2 linked regions of the Xenopus tropicalis genome follow. The protein of the gene in region 1 purifies or fractionates together with the protein of each later gene. This does not show direct contact. Links are inferred from orthologs where the notes say so. Each region holds a gene or a part of one and is shown in the gene's direction. Other genes may lie near its edges.

Evidence for each region.
Region 2: the proteins of hspb11 (region 1) and ift22 purify together in Homo sapiens (affinity purification with mass spectrometry; 3 studies listed by BioGRID and IntAct, with this or other methods). This does not show direct contact. The link is inferred for Xenopus tropicalis from reciprocal best matches to the Homo sapiens genes IFT25 and IFT22.

What each region holds. Positions count from the first base shown.
Region 1 is NC_030680.2:97,386,766-97,391,228, reverse strand, and holds the start of hspb11 (intraflagellar transport protein 25 homolog), read left to right. Parts: upstream 1-1,604; 5' UTR 1,605-1,705; coding exon 1,706-1,806; intron 1,807-3,038; coding exon 3,039-3,145; intron 3,146-3,776; coding exon 3,777-3,845; intron 3,846-4,463. Other genes in the region: lrrc42 (leucine-rich repeat-containing protein 42), read right to left, coding at 1-429. UniProt on the Homo sapiens protein: Component of the IFT complex B required for sonic hedgehog/SHH signaling.
Region 2 is NC_030678.2:47,033,321-47,037,664, forward strand, and holds the start of ift22 (intraflagellar transport protein 22 homolog), read left to right. Parts: upstream 1-1,348; 5' UTR 1,349-1,377; exon of another isoform or gene 1,378-1,416; intron 1,417-4,344. UniProt on the Homo sapiens protein: Small GTPase-like component of the intraflagellar transport (IFT) complex B.

The sequences.
Region 1 (4,463 bases):
CAGCACCAGGTCTCCATAAGCTTCAGTGAATTTGCGCAGGGCCATTACCCCATTGCAAGGGGTAAAAAATTTGTGCTTGGCTTCTGCAGCAGTAAAGAGTTTCTCTGCAATCTGGTCAGGAAATCCCATCAGGGAGTCTACATAGTGGATGTTGTCAGTGATTAGATCAAGTGTCAGGGTAAAGAGTGACTTGGCAGAGTAGCGTAAGCTTCCCTCCTTAGTATATGTAAAAATAAAAGGTTTCTGCCTGTGTCTTGAGGTATCTTCTTGCTTCCCACATAGTTCCACTGAGAATCCTTTAGAGAAAAGGCGGCATGGGCGAGTCCTGAGCTCAGAGACATGTGACCCAACAACTGACAGCTTTCCTCTCTCTCGCACATAAACCGGTCCTGTCTCCTCGTTCCTCTCTGGCTCAAGGCACTGAAACATCTTCTTACAGGAAAAGAAAAAAAGTTTTAAGCAAATGTAATATTCCATTCTAACTTAGCAATTGTTTATTGGTGTAATAGGGTAATGCCCCTTCAGTTTATTAGAAGTGATCTCACCTTACCTTTCATCCGCAAAAACTAAGTAGTTTTGTTTCACTGCTGTTTATTAAGGACACTGCATCTTGTCTGAATGACAGAGGTTTTCACTAGAAAGTATTTAGGTCAAAGCTATTTATTTCCAATTAAAATTGTGACTCATGCAGACTCTTTATATATTTATATGCTTACAAAATCTAGCTTGTCCTGAAACAAGATAAAAATAAGACTAAATTGAAACACTGAGCTGTAAATCTCACCCCATACATCTAGATGAAATAAATCACAATGAAAAAGGGGCTATGGAAAACAATATATATAATAATATATATGACCATCTTTAATAAGATATATATTGCCAATGTAAAAGAAAATGTAGAGTCCATATGTGCAGATAGAGCAAGGGAACACATATTAGCAATGGGTGCCTTTATAAACAAAGTAAATTAAGAATGCAAAGGTGATTATAATTCAAAAAGGAAAAAGCAGAGCTATAGCCTAACACTGTTGTTTTCTAACAACTTCTTTGGACCCTACAGTCCTGCACTGGCTAAAACTAGGCTAGTTCATAAGAATGTCAATATAAAACAGTGATAATTACAAGGTAACGGTGCATTATATTAAAGTTCTTTTTTGTGTAAGATTACCATCAAAGATGATATTTACTGAATACACATGCTGTAAGTTGGGTGTCGTGCATGACCGCACACAAACCCTTGATTCAAAATGAATGTTAATGGTTCTGTAATTCAAGGCAGCGCTGTACAGTAACTTCCTATTCCAATCGGTTTACAGTCTAAATCAAATGCTAATTCTCCTAGGAAATGAAGGAGCTTCCCATCTCAAATCCACAAGCATAAAGAATAAAAAAAAAAACTTCCGAGTGTGAGTTTTGATCACCACACGCTCATGGTGACACCATAACGGACAATATTTACACATAAACTATAAAACCAGAGACTCACCTCTCTGCAGAGACCAGTAAACTGCACCCGGAACGTCTGCTCTACGGAACCTTCCCCCCCGGCCGCGCACACTATATACGCTAACTCGGGAACACAGCTCTGGCACCGGAAGACGTTCCAAATTGCTAGGCAACGGCGTAACAACAGGGGGGAAAGTAAGTGGAGCGAATGTGAAGGGGCTGCTTGTTAGTTCCACGCCAAAGCCACGGCCTGAGCATGACACGGGCAGGGGACTTGTGCCTGAGTTGTGCCGGAGCCCGGGTCACACTGGCTACCAGCAGCGATGACAGACACCCGGCAGACAACATTATAGACGGGTGGGTATTGATGTGCTCAGGCTTTCTCCATTAGTAGTACAGCCATGCCGGCTGCTGCGGGGATATTATTCTCACAATGTAATGTTCCCAGTAGTTTTTGTTGGCTACCTGTGGCAAAATGTTCCTGTTTGCAATTTTTCTAAAAGCTGTAGTGTGTGTTATAGTGCTTGAGCTTGGGCAAGTACTGATAAATAACTAATAGCATACAAATAAATAGAGGACCTAGACATTAAAGAAATAGTTCAGTGTAAAAATGAAACTGGGTAAAATGGATGGCCTGCGCAAAATACAAAATTTTTGCAATATAATTAGGCAAAAATGTAATCTATAAAGGCTGGAGTGGGCAGATGTCTAACATAATAGCCAGAACTTTACTTTTTGCTTTCAGCTCTCTAACCTCTTATGGTGGCCATACACACTAAGATCTGCTCGCTTGGCGAGGTTGCCAAGCAAGTGGATGTTCTCTTGATATCCCCAACTATGGGTGGGCGATATCTGGCTAATTCGGTCGTTTGGCCAACATAGGCATCTGCAGGATCCAACTGATTTTTAAACCTGCCCGATCAATATCTGCCCCATTTCAGGCCAGATGTTGGTCGGGCAGACCCGTCTTTAGTGCCCATACATGGGCCGATAAGCTGGCGAATTGGTCTTAAAGGACCGATATCGGCAGCTAGAATTGGCCCGTGTATGGCAGCCTTTAGTTAGTCAGTGACTTTACGGGGGGGGGGGGGGGGCTAGGGGGCTAGGGACATGGGACATAACTGTTCAGTTAGTTTGTGAGCACGCAGGTCAGATTCAGTAGCAAACTGAACAGTTATGTCCCATATGCCACCCCCCTCAAGCCACTGATTAGTTACTTTGACCGGCCCTGTCAGCACTGTAATTGTAAAATATTTGAAGGAGCTTGCGTCACTCAAAACATTGATGCACAAGTGGTTTCTATAAATGTGTTATTTTTTCCCCACCTACTTCTCACGATGTCACTTCCTGTTTATTAGTGGTCAGGTTGTGGGTAAGGCAGTTGCAGATCAGGTAAAGGGCCAAAGCACGTAAAAATGCAGGGCAGAGGTCTGGGTTGGGTTTCAAAAATTGCGCAGGAGTCTATCAGGGCCTACTTCAGATCCTAGTATGTACCTGGTTGCATTGGTATGTTGGGCTCAACCAGATAATACTGTTCAGACTTTGTTTTTCTCTCATACAGTTACATAATTATGTTATGTTTTGTTTAGAAACCCAGACACATTCTGGACAACGACTGGTATGTATCCTCAAGAATTCATAATCAGTTTGAATGGCATTCAGAAAATTAACAAGATCATCCTCCAGAGCTCATTAGGTAAAATGGAGAAATCATAAATTTAGTTTTTGCTTCTTCATCTTTGGCAGTTAACTTTGAATATTATTGTGTAACTGATCGTACCATGTATTTCAACTTTACTTCATGTCATAATATTATAATGCAATAAAAGTATAGGTTGTTCCCTAGAAGCCCATAAATTTATATTTTTCATTGTGCCACTCTCAGGCTTTGAATTTTAACTGGTTGCTAAGGCTTACCTGTCTAGGAAATCAGGCATCAGTTTAGATGTTAGGATGGAAGATGAAAGTAGTGGGATAACAATGCAAAAATGGTGAAATATAAAGTATGGCTGCTGGATCAGTGACCCCATAAAACACAGAGATTTTTTTTGTTGCAGGGCAGAAAGAAGTAGGATAGCGAATAATTAAAAACCAGAATAAATAAGAAAGTAGACCGTTTGAAAAGTTGCTTAAAATAGGTCTATCGACAACATACTAAAATTGTTTTAAAGGTAAACCTCCTCTGTAACTCTTTTTCCCACATGGTTGAACTCTTCATTTATCTTTATACTTACTGGTGTTTTTGCTCTCTGCAGTTAACTAAATGCATTTATGACTCACATTTCATAATTTTATTTTATTATTCCTTTGGCCTTTATGGTTTTCAGTACGATCTGTAAGAATTGAATCAAGCACATCCAAAGAACCTGTAAACTTTGAGCTCCGTCTAGAAAGAGGTAAGCAATTAAACATGCACCATATTTAAATTTGATAAACATTCTGTATTGTGTAACATATGCAACTTTAATGAACTATAGAAGACACTTGGAAGATAAGCAGTAGGATTCATGATACCCTTAAAAGAGTGGGGTACTACATGTTAAGACTTTTTTTTGACAAAACAAACTTTTTTAGATATGTGGCATTTTATATGTTTACATTTGTAAATGCAGTGTTTTCCTGAAAATGATTGATAATAAACGTACTTAAGCATAGTGTAATGCTGGCAAAAGAAGCCTTTTGCCCACCAGCAGTCACAGATCTTCAGCTGGCTTCATCTGTAGTTTCAGAAGTTTCCTATTTCTAGTCAAATATTTTCTTCTGAACAATTCTTGGAGAAAATGATAATGAATTAGGGATCATTTTAGATAACAAACAACCATCTGCAAAGTGCAAAAAAAAAAGGCCCGGATGGGTGTGTCTTGCACACAGCCTTTTGGTCTTTGCGAATTGCAGCAGGTCACTGTGTTCTGTTTTGGAGTGCTGTATTGGTGAGGTGAGCTTGTTGGTGCTATATTGGAGGCGCCTATGTTTCTTACCCCTACCTGTCCCTAACTTGCGCATCTTTTAGACAT
Region 2 (4,344 bases), on another chromosome or scaffold:
TCTCAAGCTCCCCCCAGCGTCCTCCCCAATATTCTCAAGCTCCCCCCAGCATCCTCCCCAACATTCTCAAGCTCCCCCCAGCGTCCTCCCCAACATTCTCCAGCTGCCCCTTACCTCCAGTGTCTTCCCCAGCATCCCCCTGCTCCTACCACCATCCGGCTGCGCCCCAGGGCTCTCCTTCTCCTCCTCGTGACGTCACACGCACCTGTTAGCGCCGCAGCTTCTGCACTGTGAAGGACTTTATGTTAGAACTGAACTGAGCAGAACTGCGGCGCTAAGGGAAAACGTGCGTGTGACGTCATGCGGGAGACCTTTAAAAGCGGGACAGATCGGCGGCTATCCGGGACAGCGGGACGGGGTAGCAAAATCGGGACTGTCCCGCGTAAAGCGGGACAGTTGGGAGGTATGACACAAGATACTTTATGGCCATTTTTCTTGCCTTGCCTGTTGCCTCTGGCTTAAAAATTAGGCTTGTACTCTAAATACCATCTCACTTTCTGTTCAAACTCCATTTTTACCTGAGCATAGACTAATTTAGGCTCCAAACAACCAAACGTGAATTTCTGGCAAGTAGAGGATCAATGGCTAAATGTCAGGAAAGGAAATATATCAGAACACTAGTACCCCTGTCTTGATTCTCCAAATATCTTCTTCTGCCATTGTTGACCGCATATACAAGGGATGCACTGAATCCATTATTTCATCATTGATTTTGCTGAATCTTAAATCTTCCCCAAAATATTATAGTGAAAGCCTGAACCAAATCAATGCCTAATTTGCATATCCAGATTTCAGAAAATAGTCAGCTAAAGACTTTCTTTATATAGTGCTGATATGTAGCCGAAAACACAAATCCTAAATGTGTTGCAATCCTTACAGGTACAAAGCCTGCTTTCTGTTGCTATATGAAGAGCACTGACACAAACATTGCTCCTGTTCTGATCCCAGCAGCGTTTCTCGCCCTTCAGCAGCCATTCCATCTGTCTGCCTCTCCTCCCGCCGGCCAGCCTGTCAGGTGTCTCCCCTTCAGCAGCCATTCCATCTGTCTGCCTCTCCTCCCACCGGCCAGCCTTTCTCCCCTTCAGCAGCCATTCCATCTGTCTGCATCTCCTCCCACCGGCCAGCCTGTCTCCCCTTCAGCAGCCATTCCATCTGTCTGCATCTCCTCCCACCGGCCAGCCTTTCTCCCCTTCAGCAGCCATTCCATCTGTCTGCCTCTCCTCCCACCGGCCATCCCTTCAGCTTGTTTCAGCAGGGCAACGCTGCACTTCCTGGTTACAGCCGGATGTCATGTAAACAGGAGAGATGTCGGGGGCGCGCACACACTGAGGGGCTAGTCGCCATATCACCTTTCTTCAAAACTGTATCCATACCATGGTGAGGAGATTTACTTGGGATTTTTTTGCCAAATAGAAGGTAAATAAATACAATGCAGCTGGACATGGGTATTAGTTAGAGGGTGTAGTTTTTATTTTTTTAATAAATTTTTTTGCTGTTACTGTTCTAGAACAACATATAATAGAATTCTTTTCAACCAGCAGACCAGTAAATGCTACCTCTTTGGTAGCTATGGTGTGTATTGTATTTTTTTTTCAGTAGACATTTTTGATTGAAATTTTGCAAGGCCATATTCTTTAACAACAACCTATTTGTAATTTAAGCTTACTCTACATTTCAAACAACTTGAACAATCGGGGACACATCAAATAATTGCAAATTATTGGCTTATAGTGATTTCAAGCTGACTTAATTTCAGTTAATTACAATCAGTGCAGCTCTTCTGCTGGATATTCTAAAAGCATTTTTACATTTACATGAACTTGCAACCTTACTTCCACCCAAAAATGTTTTGTTTTTTTTTCATAGAAAATGTAATATATATATATATGCCCCCTGCCCAACCCTTATAGAGATTCCAATGCAAGCAGTGTCTGCAAGGGGAGCCCACAATCTCTAGTTAATGCACTGATAGCCCTTTTAAATTGTATGGCATGCTTAGAGATTTACAGGGTGAACCACCTACAGCAATGGGAATGGACCCACACTGACCCATCAGTAGATGGAATCAAAATTCCATTGTGTACTGTTCACTTTTGGGGATGTAACACAACCCACATATCTTTTGCTTTAGCTGTTCCTTGAGAGTTGACAGATTGCTGTTTCATGTCAGTCCCCTCCGAAGGCATCCGAATGCGTTTTTTTCATAATGATCGGTATTTTGCGATTTTTCCATAAATTGTTGCAACTTTTTCGTAGCCGTTACGACTTTTCCGTAAATTGTTGCGCCTTTTTCGTAGCCATTACGATTTGCACGAATTGTCGCGACTTTTTCGTAGCCGTCGCGCCGAGTATGAAAGTTTCGGATTCATTCAAGCTTCAGTATTGTGACTTTCCTTGGGCCAGGTTGGAGCTGCAGAGTGCCATTGAGTCCTATGGGAGGCTTCCAAAATCATGCAAAGTCTGAAAGGTTTGCCCGCCGTTTACGAGCGCTCAATACGAAAAAGTCGCGACAATATACGAGCAAATCGTAACGGCTACCCCTTATCCAGAAAACACCAGGTCCCAAGCATTCTGGATAACAGGTCCAAGGACCCATGCCTGTAATTATCATTAAAGGTAAATACAATCTTGTGCCCATTTCACTTTGGATCCTAAGTGGCACATTTACTAATCCACGAACGGCCCGAAGGCATCCGAATGCGTTTTTTTCGTAATGATCGGTATTTTGCGATTTTTTCGGAAATTGTCGTGATTTTTTTGTAGCCGTTACGACTTTTTCGCATAATGTCGCGACTTTTTTGTAGCCGTTACGAATTGCGCTAAATGTTGCAACTTTTTCGTAGCCTTCGCGCCGAGTATGAAAGTTTCGGATTCATTCAAGCTTTAGTATCGTGACTTTTCTTGGGCCAGGTTGGAGCTGCAGAGTGCCATTGAGTCCTATGGGAGGCTTCCAAAATCATGCTAAGTCTGAAAGTTTTGCCCGCAGTTTACGAGCGCTCAATATGAAAAAGTCGCAACAAGATACGAGCAAATCGTAACGGCTACGAAAAATTTGCGACAATTCGCGCAAGTCGTAATGGTTGCGAAAAAGTTGCGACAATTTACGAAAAAGTCGTAACGGCTACGAAAAAAAAGCAAAAAATACGAAAAAGTCGCAAAATGTTCGTTTACCAATCGGAAATTTTCCAATTCGGATTCGTGGGTTAGTAAATCAGCCCCTAAATGTATGCTCTTTCACATCCTAGCAGCATGAAATGTAATGCTAGTGTTTCTTAATTAGAGCACTCGGTCTATATATGCTATAAGAACTCCTTAGATGGCACAGAAAATGGGCCAATTTTTTTTACTACTTCTTATTAAATGCCTACAAAAAGCTTTTATATAAATTCCTTTCTAAAGTGTGTACAAAAAGCACCTTACCCAATTTCCTACAAATAGCTTTTTAATGCAGAGCATCCGTGGAGCCCTTTGTAGTGAAAGTCATTGGGGCTCTCTCCATAAAGAATCAAGTTTACAGATGGCCATCAGTGATTGCTGCTGAACGTACATCCAGTCCCTACTGGAAAGTACTAACATTACCCATTAAACACAGGAAGACGAGCATCATGGGCAATGCAGTGATGCAAAAGAGAACAATAAAAATGAATATTAAATAGCCACATATCTATAATTGGAAAGATAAATGTTGACAGCAAAATCATTTGGAATACATTCACATTAAGTCCCTTAATTATAATGGCATTCACACTGTATAATGGTATCTACATGTTGTAAATTATTCAGTAAAAAAATACATGGTTTGTAGCTAGTTAAGACTTTATCAATGCCCAAATCACAGCAGAATCTGCTTGGTCATGTTGTCTGTGGGGCAGGTTTATCAATATTCAAAGTTAACTTTTTACTGTGATCTGTGTTTTTTGCAGCAAAAATTTTCAGTTTCGAAACTCAAATTTTCAAGATTTATTAAGCACAAAAAAAATAAACTCAAAAATTATTTGTCACCTACATGCGGTCAAGTTTATACAGTCAAAAGGAGTTCCATTTTCAAAATTCAAGCTATTTTTCAATTTCAGTTTCCGGGACTAATTGGAAATTGGGCAGACCTGAAAATGAAGGGCAAAATGAGATTTCATTGTGTCTGATTTGCATTGTAATGTTTTTATATATTTAATATTTATATTTTAATAAATTAGCTCAAATTTCGATAATGCTTAAATTCCAGTGTTGATAATTCTGTCCATACAGTATGTGTCTATTTCAGCCATAGGCTGGCAGGGTCAGACAGGACTGAACTCCCCCACTACATGCTGAACTCACATATTCCCCTCCGATAGTGATCCCGAT